Linked DNA regions of Schizosaccharomyces pombe. Changing the gene in region 2 together with the main gene of any one other region gives a genetic interaction. Each region holds a gene or a part of one and is shown on either strand. Other genes may lie near its edges.

Region 1 (6,523 bases), on a different chromosome or scaffold from region 2:
GTTTATTTGGTGATATTAACGCCTCTTCCACACCCTATGTTAATTCCATATTTGTTTGCACCCAAGGTCGTAGGCAAGAATCTACTACCCCGTGCTGACGGATTGGTAGAGAATACCTTGAAAAGATGGACATTCATTAATGATAAGCTCAAAAGGTCTGACACAGTCGTTCGCGAGTTCCAGGAAATTGAAGAGGAAGCGACTAAGTAAGGATAAAAGCCGTATGGTTTTCATTATGTTTCTCTTGCCTACTATCTTTTTCATTTTAACAAAGATTATATTTTTTAATCTTAAAAAATTTTTAAGAAGGTCCATGTTGGTCGTTATATTTTGGCATTTTTTTGAAACAGTATAGGAGTTGGGATTTGATACAATATAGGGGAAATTATAAGGTTGACGATGACACTAAAATTTTTTTCATTTAGATTGGCTATTCAATTTCAATTTGAAAACATAATTTTTATATTTCCAAACTGCTTCAATCTTACAGCAAGAAAAATTCGAGAATAAAAATGGAAGATAAATGGATATAATTATATAATTTTACTAATAAAGCCTCATTAGAGGGAGCTGGATAAAAAGAAAATCCGTTAGAAATGATTATTAATAGTTAATTTACCGTCGTCTGCTAGAGCGACAATTAACACTAAGGCAAAAAAAGATAGAAGTAAACAACAAACACGAATCATCAAAAAGCAAAGGTAAACGAATTCGTTCACATCTGTTGAAGTAATACATAACTTCTTAATACATTGACAAATCATTGCGATCAAGTATTTATTTCCAACAACGAGCAGTGAAAAACTATTCATTCCATACCCCCAATCAGACAAAACACTGGCACAGTTACATAAAAGAAATATTAAAATAGGAATCATATTTCTTAAAAAAGTGTAATAAAGCCTTCCAAAGTAAAATCACCGTATTAGGAAATCGGAAGTCATGAGCACGGCCATTAGGTCAATGTCATATAAAACTTACACAGGTACAAGATGAACAAAACAAAAACAAGATCCTTGAAAACCAACCAAAACTATAAGGGAAGCAGTATAATGTCACGCTTTTATTAGTTAAGTAGTCAAGGAAACATCCACAAAAGAACACGAACAGTAATCTCAGAGAATTCCAGCTTAGTGGAGAATACTATAAAGAAGAGTGATTGGAATTATGTTGCAACACCAGATTCTAAATTTAATTCGGATAGCAATTTTCCACGCAAATTTAAATAGTTTCCCCAATCGTAAATTGGTACAGAAAATATCAAAAAAGATATAAAAACACACTCCAATCGAAAGGAGAGGTATATGGAAGATGCCCATTTTCGCAAGGTAGCTTCTGGTGTTAAAAGTATATGCATGGCAAAACAAAGAAAAGCTAAAAGCAACAATAAAAATCGCAAGATACTATGGAGAGAAGGAGATATTGGGAGTACTGACATTGAAAAGCGATTGGAAGAACCAGCATCATCCGGATTAGTTAACATATGAACAGTTTCTAATCCCACTAGACCGTTCAGAACAGCCCTCCCAACGTTTTTATAACTCAATCCTTGCTGATCAGCCTGAGCCCTTGGCGACACCAACTGAGGTTGATTGTAATCAGAGGGAACTGTCGACGAAGGAAGTGATCCACCGTATTCTTGTGGATGCATCATTGATGTATGCGAAACCGCATTGCAGGACTTTGAATATTTCAAAGGGTATCTAGAGGAATACGCATTGTGCATCTCATTAAAATTTGCATGAGGAATCGTTTGCATCGAATCAATAGGAGATCTATTAACCTGCATTGGAGGTCGGGGATACGAGCTATTTTGAGGAACCGAATGGCAATTATGGGGAGCATCTGGAAAATAAGCTTGTTGAGAAGGAGTACCGATGCTACTCCTTTTCAATATAGGCGGAACATTGCGATGTCCTGGAGTGTTACCAGGAGGACCTAGCAAAGACAATGAAGCCGGTTGGGAGGGTGCGGTCAAAGAAGCTTGAATGACCGAGGTGTATTCTGATAAGCGTTTTTGCAAAATCTTGTTTTCTTCGATTAACTTTTTATTTTTTGATTGTAAACTTTTTATATACTCGGTAGCTTTTGACAAAATGGTAGCTTTGTTCAGCTTTCGCGATAAGGGAACGTAAGTACCCTTAAGCTCATCTGCTGTAGTAGAATTGTATCCAGAGCGCAGAGTCGGTACTGCATCCCTTAGCTCAGCAATTTTGTCATTAAGATTACTTCGGTAACGTTTTTCGATCATATTGTGAGCGGACCTTTTGCTCAAAGGAGAAAGGTTTTGTTCTTGGGTAGATAAACCAACCGGCTCCACCCCATTGCTTTGGATAGCGAAAGTTGCCGATGAAGAAATGGGGCTATTCGAATCGTTTACAGAACCTCGAACAGAGGTCGAAGAGCTTGAAGGAGAATCTGAAGGGCCTCCACCATTAGTCTTTGAAGATATATATGAACAGTCTTGCGCAATATCCCCATAGCTACGCTTTGAAGAGATTGAAGCACAAGGAGAAGATACCGTTCTCTTAAGCTTGTTAGGTGTCTCAAATTCGTTACCATTTTCAGGTGCGTTTTGGGGATAGACCGTACTATATTGAGAGAAATTAAATGCGACAGCATCATCGGAACTCATGATTCCTTTCACAGGCGATGGCATACCTTCGTTTGTAAATTGCATGGAGGAATCTGAAACAGAGTTTTGAAAATTAGATGTATCATAATTTGAATTTTGCTTCGGGCTCTGCAATAGCGTTAAAGCCGGTTTTTCAGTGTACTGGGGGAAATTTGGGTTCAAGGAATGTGGAGATATCGATGGATTTTCAGCACCAGTAAAAGTATTAAACTGACCGCTTTCCTCACGAAGAGCGTAAGTTGCGTCAGCTTCCTCGATCTTAACAACAGAATTTACCGAAGATTGTTGGTAAGAGTCCGTTTGAGTAGTCTCCAAACCGACAAACTTTGTGTTGGGAACTGGACCTTGATTGCTCTGTAAGGATTCATTTGCATGCTTCCAAGTGTTCCCTTGATGATTTATAGGTAAATGGGGGTGATGTGTGATTGATAAATCCGTTGAATCATGTAAAGAGTTTTTGACTTCAAAAGGATCAATGGATGGATCCCAGCTACTTGAGTACTGTCGGGAGTGATCCTGCGCTTGTGTAAACCAATGATTTGATTCTAGTGGGCCTAATTCCGTATTGATGGAGGAGTCAATAGAGTTACGTGCCAACATAGGTTTGTCAGCAACGTCTTGGTTAAGATTGAAGGCAGTAGAAGCGTCCATTGAATTGGAATTGACTTGATATGGATACGCAGACGCCATAGAGTAAGATCGTGGTATACCACGAGTTCCTACAGAGGGCACGTGGCTTATAGGGTATGAAGAAGATGCTGAAGACGAAACTATGGATGGGTGCTTGAAATCCATGATATTTGAGCCATCCACATAACTGGATGGATCAGCGTTTTCAGTGGGATTGGAAATCGCAGTGTTTTCGAGTTGACGATGAATATCCTTGAGCGACGAGTGTTGGGAAGGACACATAGCGAAGCGAATACCAAACAGTCGTTTTGGATATGAGTCAAGGAGAACGAAAGGTATTTATAGGTATTTAAAGAATGAAAAGTTTCCAAGACAAAAAGAGAAAGATTAAAAAAAGAAAAAAGAAAAAACACTCAGTAGTAATGGAGAGAATTCGAATTTCCGAACTTCTTGTTGATGAAACGCTAACCGCAAAAAAAAATTTAACAATACACCGTTTAATAAACGAGAAATTAGAAGAAAAGCGGGATTATTTCAAAAAAGGAGAGGAAGCGAAAACTAAAGGAAAGATAGAATGGGTGGAAATTGTAGTAGGAAAGCAAATAAAATTGGAACCCAAGAAAACGCCTATAGTAGTTGTCTTTGAGCGAAGGAAAGTATAAAACAACAAAAAATTAGGTTTTTCCTCTTTCAAGTTGAATTATTATGAAACCGGGTTGAACAGGAATCTTCAAGGTAAGCGACCCCAAGAACGCACTCGTTCACGAACTAACCAAGTAAACGAGACAAGATGAACAAGCTTGACAGGATAAACAATGAAAGAAGAAAAACTTATAAAAACTAAATATATAAAGGGGAATATAGTAAAAATTGGCCCCCAAGCTGCGTTATAAGGAATTGACAGCAATTATATGATGACGGAGAAGAAAGGAGTAGAAACTGACGCAAGGCAGGATGTAAACGTCAAATCTTCAGGTGTTCCGATATGTAATGAGTCTTAAAACTGCTACTAGCCTAAAACCTAGCACCGTTCATCCACAAAGCGATGTCCAAAGAAACGTTTCAATCCGATGTTCCTATTTTGCTTGAATCCGTCGACACAACACACTGACTTGACAGTAACCGGGAGTACGATGGCAAAAATCAATGTCAGTGGATCCAGCAATTCGTAACAACACCAAAAGAATGGGCAATTCAGAACAAGATCAAAATGCTAACTAAAAGAAGCCTAGGTGTTGGGAAATCTCAAAATACCAATTAACCGAACTCCCCAAACAACGATTCGTACGAAAGCAACAAAAACCCTCTAAGATTCAATCAATAGCTTTCTTGATCACTAGAAATTTTCAAGAACGGATGGAGTTAAATATTCAACAGGGATGCGCAATCTACGCGAGTCTTAAGTTATGTTTTGCTGTCGCTAAGTAGAATTTATGGGAGGGAGGAAAAAGCTAAAAGTAGACGAAGCCGCTTAAGCTAAGGAATGTCTATAGCGATTAACATTACGTTATAAGGATTGCGTGGTGAAAAGAAGGTTGGCAAACTACGCATTACATGAGTAACGTTCGTTTATGGTATCTCGTATACGCATTCTACAATCGCTTACAGTATTCCTGTTTAGCAAACTCGATACAAGCAAAGCATACCTTGAACAACGTGGAGAATGCTCGCTTTGTAGTATTCGTGTTACCGTAATTCGTGCTGTATCTCACTCCGGGGGTAGTGAATATGATCAATTCACACTGCTTATAAAGAGAAATAGAGTCAGCAGGAAGTAGAAAGATAAATGGAAGGAAAAGAACGTAATTTCTATCCCAGAAAACGTTTGAAATGATCTTTTGAAATTATGTTTTGTTTGTAAGTATGAACGAAAAGCAAGGCACAACGCTATTTTATAAACAACGGAGTGCACAATACGATACGTCCATCTGCTTTCCATCCTTGATACCTGCATTGTCTTCGTGTTTACTCAAGTTGCTCTTAACCATACTCCTACCACCAAGTGGGAAAGACGGGATTTGTAGGACTCGTTGAAAACCGGCTCTTCTCAATGGTAGTAAAAATTCGTTTGGCGCGTCATGGCGTCAGAAATAGACCTTTTTACCATATCGTAGTTGCGAATGCATGGTAAGTAGGATGAAAACATACCTAGACGGTTGTTTCGTGTTTTACAACACTTGTAGCGGTTCACGTAAAGGGGAAAGTTTTTGTACAGGATTTAGTAAGGGAGATGGCTTGATGTGGGTTATGAAAGAATGGAAGATAAAATGCTAAAAGACTGCTTTTTTTTGACGGTTCCTTTGGCTCTAAATTGCGATCTTTTTTAGAAGCTTTAGTTTTCAGGTATTCCTGGATGCTCTCATCTATTTAATCTAGTCTTTCTACATAGTATTCAAAATGCCAAGGACACCAACCACAATTTTTCTTATTAATTGACTATTTATTGTGGTTTGGCCCCCTTGGCCTCTATTAACTGTTTACATATCACCTGTACATCCTTTTTTTTCTCCTTCATCCATTCCTGTCTTTTGGTTCGACTTTGTTAACTCAATATAGGAAAGCACCTCAAGCCAAACCTATCGAAACCATCGGCACTTTTGATCCCATCCCTAAGAAGATTGATTCTCAGGACTCCATTCCTCGTATAAAAGATATCCAGCTCAACGTTGAACGTTTTAAATATTGGATAAGTGTAGGAGCACAACCATCCGACACCGTCCGCTCTTTAGCTGAAAAGGTATGCCCAAGCTCTCTTTATCTATTTTTATGACTAGTCCAAATTCGTTAAACTTTCTTTCAACTCTCTTTTTTGACTAAAATTTTCGACCCGCTTGCGATATACCGCTCGGGTGATTTTTCTCATGTTCCCTAACTGCCCGGCTTTCCGAAATGGAGTGTAGGATCTCATCCCTGTTTTCGTTACGATTTGGCTACTAATTTACTTGTTTTACTTCTTTCTATCAATCTATCAATTCTTACTAACGTTACTTTTTTCACTTTTAGTTCCAGTTGCTTCCTAAAAAACCCGTTTCTTGAAACTCACTATAATCGTTATTGCTCAAGTCATGACATTTCTTTTTTACGACCACTTCACAATGTCTAGATATCTTTAACACATTTTTTATTTTTTTTTACACTTTATCTCTGTGATCACGCTAATTACCTCTCTCAACTAAATTTCATAATTTTTGACCGATTTTACCCTTCCGTACTGTTTTTTTAAAACCACGTTTTTTGGCTGAGTGCGATATTTGTTTT
Region 2 (3,457 bases):
AACCCTAGTAAAACCTAAACAAAGAGTCAGAATACTGAACAATTATAAGAATGAAAGTCCAGCGCTAATTTCAGCATATTGAGAAAAGAGGCCATAAAAGATAATGATTCACAAAGTTTTAGTAATTTTGAAAAGTGACGAAAATGATGCTTTTATAATAGAGATAACTTGACTTGACGCAATAGATTATTTTCAAAAGGGTAAGTAAATCTGTTAAGTCTAAGAACACCTTAAAATTATTAAGCACAACAAATAATTTTACGCACATCTAAAGTCTCATTCATTATTTTAATTAACTTCCGAAAAAGCATACAAAGTATCCAATACTCCGCTCATAGCTTGCCCAGAGCAAAAAGGAAAATCATTTGACAGCTTTAAAAATTTAACTCGCATATTTCTTAAAATATGGTTCAGTTGGTGCTTTGAGCAACATGAATTCTATGTAGGCTCAATTGCTTACATCGAATGGCAAAACAAATGTAGAAAGCATACAGCCTTTTTTTTCTTTAAAAAGCTGATAGGAAAAAAATATCAAAAAAAAGTATCATTTCGAAAAGGCTTTGACCAACCTTCCGGGTAAGACATAATTAAAGAAGGAAATGTAGACCTTTTTGCTCAACATAGCTTTGTTGCTGTAACAAGACTTCCGAATAATACTCACCAATCAAATTTGGTACAAAAAAGTACACGTTTGGGTCTTTCTGCTCGTTCTTTCCCATTGTAACTAATGTTGCAAAAGGAAGATACAGCGTTAGTGGTCTGCCATAAAGCTTACCGCAATATCGCTTTCCGTTGGAATACGCAAAAAAAATATTACCGCCCGTACGAAATCACCGTAATTAATATTATAAAAGGCCAACGTAGGATTGTTTTCGTTTCGCTAAGCTTATTACCTTCTTTGGAACAAAACACTTGCGCGACAATCATAACCTAGCTTATTTAAGGTTACCTTGACTCAGTTCAATTATTAATGGTTTTGCACGAGTAATTTCTTTCATGTTTGTAGAATTATGAATTAAAATATTTAATAAAATTATTTATCTATTTTTTTAAGCTGTTACTGAGAAACAGTTCTTGATTTAACTATTTTTTTTTTTTTTTTTTTTTGACACTGTCAGTAATAATCTCGAAACATCATTGCGTAAAACATTTCATAGACAATCATTATTAATATTTCTTTAATAAATTAATATTTTTTCTAATTTCCTATAACAGCAGCGATTTTTGGAAACAGATAAAGTAGTAAAAGATTAAACCTATACATCTCACCATTTTTGACAATTCGAGTAAGGTAATGTAGACGCATTTGACACATATATGATCTCTAAAACAATTAAAACACTTATTATCACAAAGATATTTTTTTCATTCAAGCAAACAAAGCGAAAAAAAAATAAAAATAAAAAAAGAATTCTTAGTATTCTTCCTTACTACAAAAATTCATACTCTGACTTTATAAGTGTACTACAAATGTATAAAGTACATATAAGAATGGTATCTATTTATATTTTTTTAAAAGCATTATCCAATATCTTTTTAGCATCATCATGCGAGATCACAGTTAGGCTTTCATCTGGTGGCCATCCTTCACCGCCAGTACATATCTATATGTCTGCTCTCATTAAAGTTTGTAAAAAGAGTAAGCCTCACCTCCAAACACATTGCATAAAAAGAAAAACATATTGCGTAAAACACCTTGCGATAAGTAATTTTCAAAGTTTTATATTACAACGTTTTAGCTGTTTTTTATTTTGTTAGATAGGCTTAAAATTTCAAGTGAAATCAATCAGGAACGATTGAATTTATAAATTTAATGAAATCAGTCGGTCATTTCGTTCCGTGGCTCACTGATATAAGGCACCTGACGGATGGCACTATTAGTGAAGTGTTCGTGGGTGAAAGAAAGAATAGCAAAAAACTATATGTTATTAAAGTTCAAGGTTTAGTATTTAAAAGGCCACCTCACGATGCCATGAGAGGCAAGCTTATTTTAGAGTCAATAGGCCATCCACACATTGAAAGGATAGTGGACTCTTTCATAGACAATGAAGCAGGATCCGTTTACCTTATAACGAGTTTTAAATCGTTTGTTCTATCAGATGTGATGGATGAAATTTCAATTGATACAAAATGCAAGATCGTATTGCAAATAAGTAGCGCCCTTGAATACCTAGAAAAGCATGGGATTCTGCATCGTGATATTCATCCAAATAATATACTATTGGATTCAATGAATGGCCCCGCTTATCTATCTGATTTCAGTATTGCTTGGTCCAAACAGCATCCAGGAGAAGAAGTGCAGGAACTCATTCCCCAAGTATGTTAAAGAGAGTTTTATATTTTGCCGAACCTGCAAGATTTCTAACGTTTTTTTTAGATTGGAACTGGTCATTATAGAGCAATTGAAACCTTGTTCGGCTGTCATTCTTATGGTCATGAAGTCGATCGTTGGACATTTGGCATTCTGATCGCTGAACTATTTTCCAATCAAGCTTTGTTTGACGATGGATCTTCTGAAGGATGGCCTAGTGAATTAAGGTTAACAAGCAGTATTATTCAAACTTTGGGTACTCCAAATCCAAGCATGTGGCCTGTAAGTTTCAAATCTTTAACATTATATCTGAGCCTTTGAACAAAAACAAAACATTTTAGACTTTTTTTTTAAATAATAGGGTTTCATGCAGATTTTGCTAACTGTTTTTAAGGAACTTTCGACTTTCCCAGATTGGAATAAATTTATATTTCATGAATATCCACCCAAACCTTGGTCAGAAATTTTACCATCTGTTGATACTTCAATTCAGTATATAGTTTCGCATCTTGTCACATACTCAAATCGGGCTTCACCATCCTTCGTGATTGAGTCATTCCCTAAAGTATCTGCTAGGCTTTCACAATATGCATAAAATTTACTCTCAGGATTGGTGTAGGAAATACATAATTTATTTTAAAGGACAGTAGAAATAAACAGGTAGGCAATACTACCGTAGGAATTAATTATCTTAGCTTCAGTTAATATTCTTTTGTCTTTTTATTAAAAACTCCTTTTGATAATACTGAGTTTTATAGTAATATCCAACGTTGAATATCTAGTGCAATAAATCGCAACGATAATCTGTAATTCTACGCACAGCATTTCTTCAATCTCACATTAGGTTGATCACTTGTATTAAACAACCGAATAGGCCTACATCTGTTTTGTTTCCCACAACTTAGATACTTATTTTGGTAGCTTGATGCGCATGCTAACCGTGCACGACTACGCAATTTGGTACCGAACTCTTCCTCCCTTCTCACATCTACCTGAGCATTTAATGCCGCTAAAAATTGTATTGGAAGATAATAAAACATTCTTCAAATACTTTAAATTATGCATCTAGCCTAGTGACGGCTTAAAGATGGATTTGGAAGTCGTGGAGTTTCCCTTGCACCACAAATTAGCGCTTCCGTTTCGTAT
Region 3 (5,479 bases), on a different chromosome or scaffold from region 2:
GACAATAGAGGACTAGCGACCTGCTTGACAACTTCTGCACCGGCACGACGAGCAGTGTGCTCTGTCGTAGATGCAGCAAGTCGAAAGTTATCAAGGGTATAATCCTCCTTCAGCTGATAGCTGGAGCCAATGACAAAACGAAGCTTCTCAATGGGAATATTCAACGATTTTAGAATAGATTTGACAATAATTTCATAATAACGAACACGGTGTTGAACGAGTTCCATCGGCGCCTTCATGTTATCCAAAAAAGCATGGACATCGGCTAAAAGAACAGTAACATGTACACCGGCCTTTAAAAAATCAGCCAACTTCATCATTGGCACAAAATAACCACAATGAGGACGGCCAGTAGGTGCACTGCCCCAGTACAAGCTGATATCGCGTTCATTCAAAATTTCGCGAATCATTTTGGCGCCAAGCACCTCTTGAAGATTACGAGTAATCAACTCATATTTTTCATCCGGAGTAAGCGACATCTTGCTTGATATCCAACGTTAAATGGAACTCACAAAAATTGGTGATGTTGGTTAACGATGTTTTCGATTGCAATCATGGACTGCGATCAACGTTCGGAATTGCCGCGGCACCGTGACTGCAACCCGAACAACAAATTATTCAGACAAAATTATTAACCAAGGTTTAATAAATAATTTGGTTTAATTATGTGCAATTACTAATAAAATATCGTTTAAAAAATGTTTATGTTATCAAAACATTCGTAAAAAGGGTAAAAGCGGTTAATTAATGTTAACAGGAATAAACCTTTTGGGAAGATGAACTGAGTTGCAGAGGTCCTCGGTTTTCGTTATAAACTGCTGAAGGTCTAAATGTCTTGTAAGCGACCTGCGAGGTGAAACGCTAATACAGTGTTTAGCATCAAGATTCATATCCAATGGACATTGGGCATAACAACCTGGTGAGAGTGTGATACGAACAGAAAATTCCTTATTTCCTGAAGGATTAGTCCTCTCGAATAACTCAAAGCATATTTGAGTGAGATAATCTAATTCGGGAATTTGATTTCTAGGTAATTTCATAGGTAGTCCTGATTCAAGTATACAATTAAGCAAGGTATAGATATGAGACTCTTTAGTAAAGTACATTCTTGTTGAAGCATGATCAGAATCTCGTGCCTCTTTAATGTCATGTATGATTTGACGAAGCAACGGTACACTTGTTAATAAACCAATTTCTAACTTTTCTTTCGGTTCTATACCATATTCTTGAGGAGAAACAAAATCAAATAATACTTTTGCTAAATCGTATAGCTCATACAACTTTTCCAACGGCCTTTCAGTGTGATTAGTATTTGCACCGGTCATCCCAACAAGATTGCCATTGCTATCGGTTCTTTGGGGAGGCTCTTTGGCAATCAAGCTTGGACTCTGAGGCAATTTGAGATACTGATAGGGAGTAAATATGCGTTCCAAAAATTGCCGATTGTGAAGAGCATCATACTTCAATGTATCGTATAGTTCAGAAACCTTGGATGGGTCTGCTTTCTCAGAGTCACAAAATTCGCTAAACAACTTCTCCCACCTTTCCCTAAAGAGCGCAGGATTTTCATTACAACACCAACGCGATTGAACTTGCTCAACCTCAGGTCCCAAAATAATAAAATTCTCTCTCATTACTGCGCGATGATATTTCATGAGTTGAACAACTTGTTGCATTACTTCACAAGGCTTGGGCATGTTTTCTGGCCAAGTAAACTCCTTTCTAGCCGTATCTCCAACTCTTAATAATGATTTCAAGTGTTTCTTAACCTTATCCATAGTATCCTTGGCAGCATTAGAATCATCTAACAGATCTTTGCGAACTTTGAGTAAGTCGCTAGGAATAGTTTCTTGCTCCAAAAAGGCCATTGCAAAAATTTCAGCAGAAGCAGAGACACGTCTTTCAGAAGATGTGTATATTTCGACATCTTTCAGGCAATCACGATTCATAATATACAGGTCCTTATGAAACTGCTCTCCTAAATCCTTAGATTGGTATCTCGCGGAATGAGTAAATTCACCACCCCATTTGATAATTAGCTGCAGTTTCAAAAGCTTTCCCTCTGGGGAATAAGCCGGTTTAAGTTGCACTTTTGTCCCCGGTAAGTCTTTCTTCGTTTCCAAAGCTAAGCGTAACTGTTTTAACTTGTTGATATCTTCGCATTTGAGTTCTGTAGCAAGGTTGGTAGCTGCCAAAACAGAATTGAGTTGTTCGTTTCTTAAAATAACTTCCTCGGTATGACCTTGCAATAATTTTACAAATGGATCAGATGTAAATGAAAACTTAAACTTTTGTTTAGGTGTACGATCCGCGTGACGCAGGACTCCGACCAAACTTTTAAGTCTCCATGCCTCACTTTCTCTAGGCGGAGGATTTAAAACTTCTTGGACTGAAGGTACACGATTCCGTCTATGACGTTCGGCAACATGAAACATTTGTTTCAAAATTCGAGCAGCATTATCATAATAATCGTTGTTATCCTTGACGAAGGACCATCCATTCACATCAATCACATACGACTGACCTGAGACACGAAGAAGATCAAATCCACAAACAGGTTGCTCAAACGCAATTGATATCTTAGAGGCCATATTTTTTTCTTCCTCTGAAAGATTGGTGATAAACCTAATTTCCTTACCATGTGGATTCCTTCTCACAATTCCGTCCACTACGGGTGATTTGCGGGTTTCTGCATGGCTGTAATGAGGACCCACGGTATAAACCTTTACGTCTTCCGCGTTATCGACATTCATGAATTCCTCGTAAATAAAAGATCCTTCAGTGCGTGGAGCACAAAGATCTGGATCATAATCTGAAGACTTATTTGCGACTTTACGAAATAATTTGCGACCTCCCCCACCAACGGATTTAGGGAAATAAATATAAATATTGTGATCTTCACCATAGACTGGTTTTTCAACGTACGGCTTCTTTATTATCTTGCCATCAACAGAAAGAGTATCTTCGTCCAACATTTTTACTTCTGGGGTAGGAACCTCTGTGATTTCTATTCCAAACTTTCGACGCAACTTTTCTTCTAGGACTTTATTAATTTTAGGACCTCCATCACGAGAGCAAATCAAACGCTGAGGGGTGGAAACACGTATGGCATCAAGGATGTTCAACACAAGCCGTCTATCCCAAAGCAACTCTTGGAATACTACATCGTTTACACAAAAAGGTTTACGCAACTCGACATACTTTTCAGCTTTCTTCAATGGAAATCCACTAGAGTAGAAACATATCAAATAATCACAAGCAGGCCAATTTTCCACAGCTTCGTCCAAAATCATGTTGTCACCGAATACTATGGCTTCAAACTCACCTTCTGCGATGATTCTGTTCAGAATATTCCGACATGGTTTTGAGCGAGCTTTGGCATCCATGGCACAGATTCCAACTACATTTCGTTTAGTAGGTGTAACGATTGAGGAAACAGGCGACGCCGTTCTGGTAGATGACTCTGTGTCGATAGATGTAAGATGACTTGCATTTTGAATCATCCTTTATTATTCAACTACGTTAAAATATTTAATAACGCTTAAAACACCTTTTTCCCACTTGTATTCTTTCAATGGCCAATTCCCTCACTTGTTTGGTTATGAGAGATGTAGGTACACGGTGTTAGTACACACCTAGTCGATCAATGTTACTTGTACGGTTAACCTTACAATTCAGCGAGGTAACATTTGTTTACCTAACGAAATGTAAATAAATAAGAAATTGTTGCTTAAATGAAGTGGACAGTGAATATTGAATTTGTTTCGCAGTAATGCTTCTATGAATAACTTTTTTACTAATTATACTGGGTTAGTTAATTTGGGTTTTCATAAAAATTTTTTTAACCAAGCCCAGTTTCTGTTATTCTTCTTTCAAAAACGTATTCTTCCAGTTTAGTAAAAGCTTGTAAAATCCATCAATATTAAATTAAAAAAGAATTAGAAAAAATTTTTGTTTAATAGGTTTTTACTTTTCGTCCGTGCGAAAACACGTGGACTGGAATGTTTAAATTTTACAAGCAACAAACATTAAAAAATTACTTCTACTAGCTGGGTTCAAGAGTATATTGTTCTCGCACCTTTTACATAAAGAAAAATATTTTTTAAGAATTTACTGAAATTTATTTCATTATTTACAAGCCCAGAATTCCAACAATCATAGATTTACCTTACCACTTTTTGATATATGTGAATAGAGTTCTTTAGGTATTCTGAAGAGAATGTAGAAGTTTTGCTAACATGTTTTTACGATTAAATCTTACAATAACATTAGACATCAATGTTTAGTTCTCTTTTTTTTTTAATAATAAATAATTTGTTTACTTAAATAAACGGAACAATAGCAGAACGATTCTTATTTATAATTACCGAAAATTGATATATGACGGATTGACCATATCGTTAAACACATTTATCGATTTCAGTAAATACACTGTCGTAAATTAACGATTATTACTGTAGGTCGTAAAGGGTTGCTAGAATTTCACAAACACTGCTTTTTGCAAGTTACAGGACAAGAGCCATCCTTTGCCATTTTACGTGCTATTTGTGTTCTTTCCTGTGATAAAATGCCATTTGCAGAGAAGAAACGGAGGACTTATGAAAATGCGGTGAAGCCTCTAAGAAAATCTAGGATCTATGCTCGTAAGTCAAAATTCTCTCTTTTTCTTTTGGAATGAACAGATTGCTAACTGTATTTTTAGCCTTTAGATCCATCGGTCACGTTTCCAATGCAGTACCTTTCGACATTGAGGCTCGTGGAACCCATTTTTTGGTAACAACGTCGGTGGGAAACACATTTCAAACATATGACTGCGAAAAGTTGAATTTGCTTTTCGTTGGCAAGCAATTAGACAAGGAAATTACTTGTTTAAAATCCTTTAAAGATTTCATGCTTGTAGCTGCCGGATCAAAAATTTTTGCATATAAACGTGGTAAAATAATATGGGACATTGATGTGGAGCAAGAACATGGAACAGTCACTCATTTAGATGCTTTTGGTGAGTGGATTATTGCTTGTACATCTTCTCGTCATGTTTATGTATGGAAACACGCTTCTAAATATAGTGTTCCTGAGCTTCATACTACATTTCTTCCTAATACCAATGCAGATATCACTAGTTTACTACATCCAAGCACTTATTTGAACAAAATACTGCTAGGATTCTCAGATGGAGCATTACAGATTTGGAATTTGCGTGTTTCTAAACGTGTACATGAATTTCAGGAATTTTTTGGTGATGGAATCACTAGTTTAACACAAGCCCCTGTCCTCGATGTTTTAGCTGTTGGTACTATTAGTGGTCGTATTGTAATCTTTAATCTTAAAAATGGTTCAATACTCATGGAATTCAAACAAGATGGCCAAGTTCTTTCATGTTCATTCCGTACTGATGGGACACCAATATTAGCTTCTTCCAACCCCATTGGTGACCTTTCTTTTTGGGATCTTTCAAAGCGAAGAATTCAAAATGTTACAT
Region 4 (5,263 bases), on a different chromosome or scaffold from region 2:
GAATGAATGCAAGTGTAATGTCAAGCCATTATACCAGGATATCCAAACTGGTATAAATTAATAAGATTAATAATGACAAAAATCTCTTTACAAACTCTAAAACGGAAAAAGAAGCAAATGAAAGTTGAATGCACAATAGGCTAAATAACAAAACGTTTATAACAATAGCAGTAAAAATAAGAAAACGACACACTTAAATGGTACAAATACTTAGAAAATCACATATAGTAACTTCTTTCGTCATCTGTACGATCACATTTATCCCAAAACGACTTTCTTTCCCAAAATATACCCAAAAATAAATATAAATAGACACAAAGAAAACGAAAGATAAAACATTCTTAATCAATGTAAGCAGAATACAAGACAAAAAGGGCATCCATAGTATATCAAAATTACTAGACCGATATTAGAAAGATAGGTCCAGATGGCAATTTGGCAAAGAGAGAGAGAAGAGTAAAAAAAAAGTAATAAATGGGAGTAAAAAATCATTTTCCTTTTTTTTTCACATTGTCTTACGTTTGATCATAAGATGATCTGTCGTCTGACAATATTCATAGTGTAGGTCAATCTACTGAGAAACACTCAAATGCAAAAACAAAATAAGAAACGAGAAAAACAAAGGTAATATGCGCAAAATTATTGTCTAAAGGGATGATTCTTGAATGAATCGGCTTGGTTTTGATGGAAGTTAGGATAGGTTCCATGATCGACTAGCTCATGAACGTTAAAGTCGGGTCTAATGTCTCGTGTAGGTATATCATGAAATAAAAGCATGGATGTGTACGCTAGCTCCTCCGCATGGGTATCAGGAAGCATATTCACATGATCACCATCATGTTGTTCAAGCCCGCCATCCTGTTGTCCATGTATTCCTCTTAATGAATGGATACATGGTCTTTCTACCACATGCTGTGACGAATCAGTAGCTATTGAAAACGAGTGTATTCTCCCACGCCAAGAAGGTTGATGATCCGGTACATCTTCTTCCTCATCATCAGCAGCTTGGGATTGATAATAATAAGGAACTTGAGACTTGACGGGATTTGGGGCAGCAGGAAACTCCGAATTATGAACGTCTGGATAAAAATGGTGCATTGTTTCCATATTCTTAACAGTACCATGTTGATTTTGTCCAGGCATAGCCGTTTGGTCTATGTGACGGTCAAAAAAGCTAGAATCGTGATGGTTCATTTTTAAATCGGGAACCTCAAAATGGCTCTGCATGGACAAATTTTCGTGGTCATTCGTTTCTAACATCCAATTGTTCACATTCTCAGCGGCAATTGAGCTTTCGTTATACGTCGGTTGATTATGCATTGCATTACCGAGTTCCGTATGAGATAATAAGCCATGGACTTGTTCAGAAGGTAAACCATGGATCTGATGAATTAGCAAAGAAGGATTAGCTACAGAGTGTTGCGCATATTCTCTTAGAAAATGCTCCTCGGTCATACCAACTGGATTAGTAAAACTTCGGTTTCGAGATTTTCGATTAAAAGGCTTTGAACCAGCTGAGGAAGTTCCAGTTTCGTCCATGTTAGATACCGCCACACCATCCATTGATGTTGAATTGAAATGATCATGATGGACAGCAAAAGGAGGAGTGACATTAGGTTGAAAGTTCTTTGAAGCAGATGAAACAAGTATCTGGGGTTGAAGATTTAGTTCTTGTTTAATAGCTGAGGAAGGATACTGGGCCATTCCGTTTTCATCCATCTGTCTGGAAGACATGGCAAACTGATTGTCACTTGAAGGATCCAACATTTTAGAACTGAGAGAATCTTGCGTGGAATGACCAGAAGATGCAGTAGTTGACTTGGTGTTGTTCGAAGTATCACTCAATTTTTTATAAGGGCCTCTTCTAACTCCCGTTGGCCGTTTCTTCCTGGGTAAATCAATGCAATCAGTTTTGGCTTTAATACAACGCTGACAAGGACGAGCGTCATCACATTTTTTGTTGTCTTTTTGACACTTTGCGCAAGCTCTCTTGGCCTGAGGAAGTCTTTTCTTAACTTTACCGGTAGTAGCTTTAGGCTTTTTTATAATTTTATTCACAGTGGAAAGAGGAGGAGTCGTGTTGTTGGAAACGTTTAAACTACGATTAGGAGATGGACTCCCGGCGGATCCAAAAGGTGGCATAGAGGTTTTAGGAGGATCGGGTGCTGAACAAACGCGCTGCAAAGGAGCACCATCCTGATGATGAGCTTGCGCATTTGAATATGCAGTGCCCTCTGGACCATATTGAGAATAGGGAGACAAGTTGTATGGATTTATGTCTGCCTTCACTCCAGCACCTTGTAACTGAAAATAAGCATCTTCAGGACGATAGGGAGAGTTGTTTAAGGGAATCGGAATATTAGATAATGCAGGAGGATTTGAGTAAAAAGTAGGAGAGTTGTTTGAATTAGGGTTAACAGATGCAACCACCCCAGGTGAAAAACTATCAGACGATGGAGAACGATGGTAGTATGGAATTTCGGTATTTTGGAAATGGACGTCTTGAGACTGTTGCATAGAAACAGATCTTGGATAGTATTCACTCATGCCACCGGAGGAAAACCCAGATGCATCCAAGCCAATGTTTCCCACAAACGGAGCATCATTTGGATTTGGGTTTTGCACTGAAAAAGCAGAGGGAGAAGAGATATGAGAGGTGGAAGATGTGGAGGGATGTACAGAGGCAGAATGAGTACCTTCTACTGGGCGGGTAAGCAATTGTTGCATATGATGATTGATGAATTGATATTCTGCATCGTAATCGGGTAATCCATAAGGGAAAGGAACGGAGGACCGCTTGTAATGTGGATCAAGCTCCTCATTCTTAGAAGCAGACTGAACGACTTTCTTCTGCATACAAACGAAAAAGACAAAAGAAATATGATAAAAGTAAAGCCTTAAACAAATGCTCCTTCGTCTTAAGAAAATTTAGGTTACAAAAAGGCAATACAAAAGAATTGGAGACAATGAAAAGTACCAAAATCCCTAAATCAATGGCTCCTTCACTTTCGTCGCTTTTTGTGAATCAGTATGGAGATATGGGCTATATATGGAAGAAGAATAAATGCGTTTGGAATACTAAGATCGTTGTGTAAGAATAAGAAAGAAAACAATCACGCGTAAAAATATCCTTTATGATCAACAACTTGGTACTTTTCTTTTGAAAAAAACCGCAGTTGAGCAACACTTTTTCAAATCAAAGGTGCTGATATGACACGAACGCGGGGGGTAACAATGATAAATTTTTAGCTCAATCTCGTCAAAGCAGTATAACTGTTTACAGATTTAATATCACTTGTAAACACTTGAACGATGAATTCCTGACAAAGATGAGAGATTTTCTTTTATCGTGTTAGGGCGAAGTCGACAGATCTGATTAGCGGTGGCAGCAGTAATAAATTAGCATGTACAGGGTGGTGGGGCATAGCGCAGTAATCGCCTTTAACACTTTACCTTAAAAAACCTTATATTTAAGCTACCACCGCATTGCGGGGAGATACCTTTTTCGACAATCTTAGCGAAACAGCGCTCTGTTCTGTTAAAATAATAAAGATCAATAACGGAATACAGCGTATTTCACAAGGCCTTGCAAACCGGCCAACCATCCATGGAACGTCTATATAGCACGTATAGGGTGCCTTACATAACATCTGTGTCTGCAATAGCATTGCTGTCAAGAGCCTATACTTACTGTTATTTTTTCTCTGTATTACAACCTTTATTATTGTTTGCTTTTTGCAGACTCCATTTTGAATTGTTGTACCTAAAGCATGAATCGTGTGGTTAAAAGTATCGTATACGGTGTTGGTATGGACATTTTGAGATAGGATCGATTTAGTTGAAAAGATTCTATCCCGAACTTAAGATTGTGTTACTTACCAGTATATAAAATAGGAATCGTTGGATTTGGCTATATGACAATGAAATTAACAACTCCATCTCCCGAACGAGTTGTCAATTCACTTCCACCGGATCTTCGAGCTTCTTATGAAATGAACAAAAAAGATCGATCAGTAAGTATACATAGCGAATCTTTTTTAAAACTGTTTGCTCCAGGTTCTGAAGTGGGTTTGGGGGTGCCACAAAAGAGAGAATATTAAGTCTTCCTTAATATTTCCCTTTACCTTCTTCAAACGTGGTGTTTGCTTTCAATGGTTTTTGTTCGTATTCTATGAAACTGACTTTGAGTAGCAAGCCGAAGGTGTTTTACGAATGATTGAAGACGCAAAACGAAATCCTAAAAACCTTGTTTAAGCGAGTATTCTTACTCAATTCATTTTAATTTTATCATCTCAATGTTTCGATCTTCCTCTCTCAAATATATATCTAAAAGTTACTTTCCTAGGACTTACAAAAAAACGAGCGTTTCCCATTGATGGGTCATTTTCAATTTTCTTGTTTCTTCATCGTGCTACTATTGATGATTTCTGATTTTTTTTTTTTTTTCACTTAATCTATCGCGTATTCGTATAAAACCTTACAAAACAAAAAAACGTAACTTGTGCTTATTTGAAAATTAATGATTCATTTGATTATGGATATGAACGATAATGAATGACTATTATCAGACCGTTGTATTTTCAACAGTGTATATATTACTTTTGCCTGATTTGACTCATATCAAGCCCACTATCAATAAAAATGGAAGACTTGTAAGCATCCAGCAACTTCAGCTCTTTTGAAAGCGAAATAAGTCTTTAGTTTCCTCACTTTAAATTTTGGTACTTCTTTCTCAAAATACACGAGAATACATCCAATAGGTAAACACCCCATTTCCACGTATTTGTAACAAAAAACACATTTTCATTTTGAAATCGTCAACGAAACTTTTAATGAAATACCTCGCCCATTCTGGTATTTTGAGAGGCTTATTTCCCAAAAGTATTGATTGTTTACTTGCTAATATACTCATATGAAACGTTTGAAAAAATGATTTGACGAAAACGATAAGTAATATAGATATATTCTTAAATCTACAAAGAGAATGATGATTGAATACTCAGCTGGTGTCTTTCATGAGGAAGCGTGTTGTACAGTTTGTTGTCTTGAAGACAGCTGTTTGCTTCACCATTATGAAATACTAACGCACGATTCTTCAATGGAAAAAAATGCTTGAAAAACTCTTTATGTATTTGATAATGTAAAAGCCCTTGCTAAATTCTTTATGTTAATGGAGGCGACAAAACCATTGGCGTATGTACCATGTATTTCGGTAGTAGCATTTTTTGCTACTGCTTAACATCAAGTATTCGATAAACACTTG

Evidence for each region.
Region 1: mutations in csk1 (region 2) and sre2 together harm fitness more than expected from each alone (negative genetic interaction), as found in Schizosaccharomyces pombe (2 studies listed by BioGRID).
Region 3: of csk1 (region 2) and asp1, changing one suppresses a phenotype caused by changing the other (phenotypic suppression), as found in Schizosaccharomyces pombe (2 studies listed by BioGRID).
Region 4: of csk1 (region 2) and pho7, changing one suppresses a phenotype caused by changing the other (phenotypic suppression), as found in Schizosaccharomyces pombe (3 studies listed by BioGRID).

The regions. Positions count from the first base shown.
Region 1 is NC_003423.3:550,578-557,100, forward strand, and holds sre2 (membrane-tethered transcription factor), read right to left. Parts: upstream 4,719-6,523; 5' UTR 3,548-4,718; coding exon 1,166-3,547; 3' UTR 553-1,165; downstream 1-552. Other genes in the region: SPOM_SPBC354.04 (uncharacterized protein), read left to right, coding at 1-210; mrps16 (mitochondrial ribosomal protein subunit S16), read left to right, coding at 5,316-5,392, 5,822-6,002, 6,269-6,301.
Region 2 is NC_003424.3:647,750-651,206, reverse strand, and holds csk1 (cyclin-dependent kinase-activating kinase Csk1), read left to right. Parts: upstream 1-1,641; 5' UTR 1,642-1,813; coding exon 1,814-2,317; exon of another isoform or gene 2,318-2,377; coding exon 2,378-2,593; exon of another isoform or gene 2,594-2,705; coding exon 2,706-2,906; downstream 2,907-3,457. Other genes in the region: phosphatidylinositol synthase (CDP-diacylglycerol--inositol 3-phosphatidyltransferase) Pis1, read right to left, coding at 1-14, 662-719; erd101 (EXS domain-containing protein), read left to right, coding at 3,399-3,457. UniProt on the Schizosaccharomyces pombe protein: Acts as a CAK-activating kinase that specifically activates crk1 of the crk1-mcs2 CAK complex.
Region 3 is NC_003421.2:570,970-576,448, forward strand, and holds asp1 (inositol hexakisphosphate kinase/inositol pyrophosphate synthase), read right to left. Parts: upstream 3,604-5,479; 5' UTR 3,504-3,603; coding exon 741-3,503; 3' UTR 501-740; downstream 1-500. Other genes in the region: tyrosine--tRNA (Tyr) ligase Yrs1, read right to left, coding at 1-479; U3 snoRNP-associated protein Utp21, read left to right, coding at 4,568-4,643, 4,703-5,479.
Region 4 is NC_003423.3:1,344,610-1,349,872, forward strand, and holds pho7 (transcription factor Pho1), read right to left. Parts: upstream 3,366-5,263; 5' UTR 2,857-3,365; coding exon 640-2,856; 3' UTR 503-639; downstream 1-502. Other genes in the region: protein Cbp4, read left to right, coding at 3,771-3,807, 3,895-4,013, 4,192-4,254.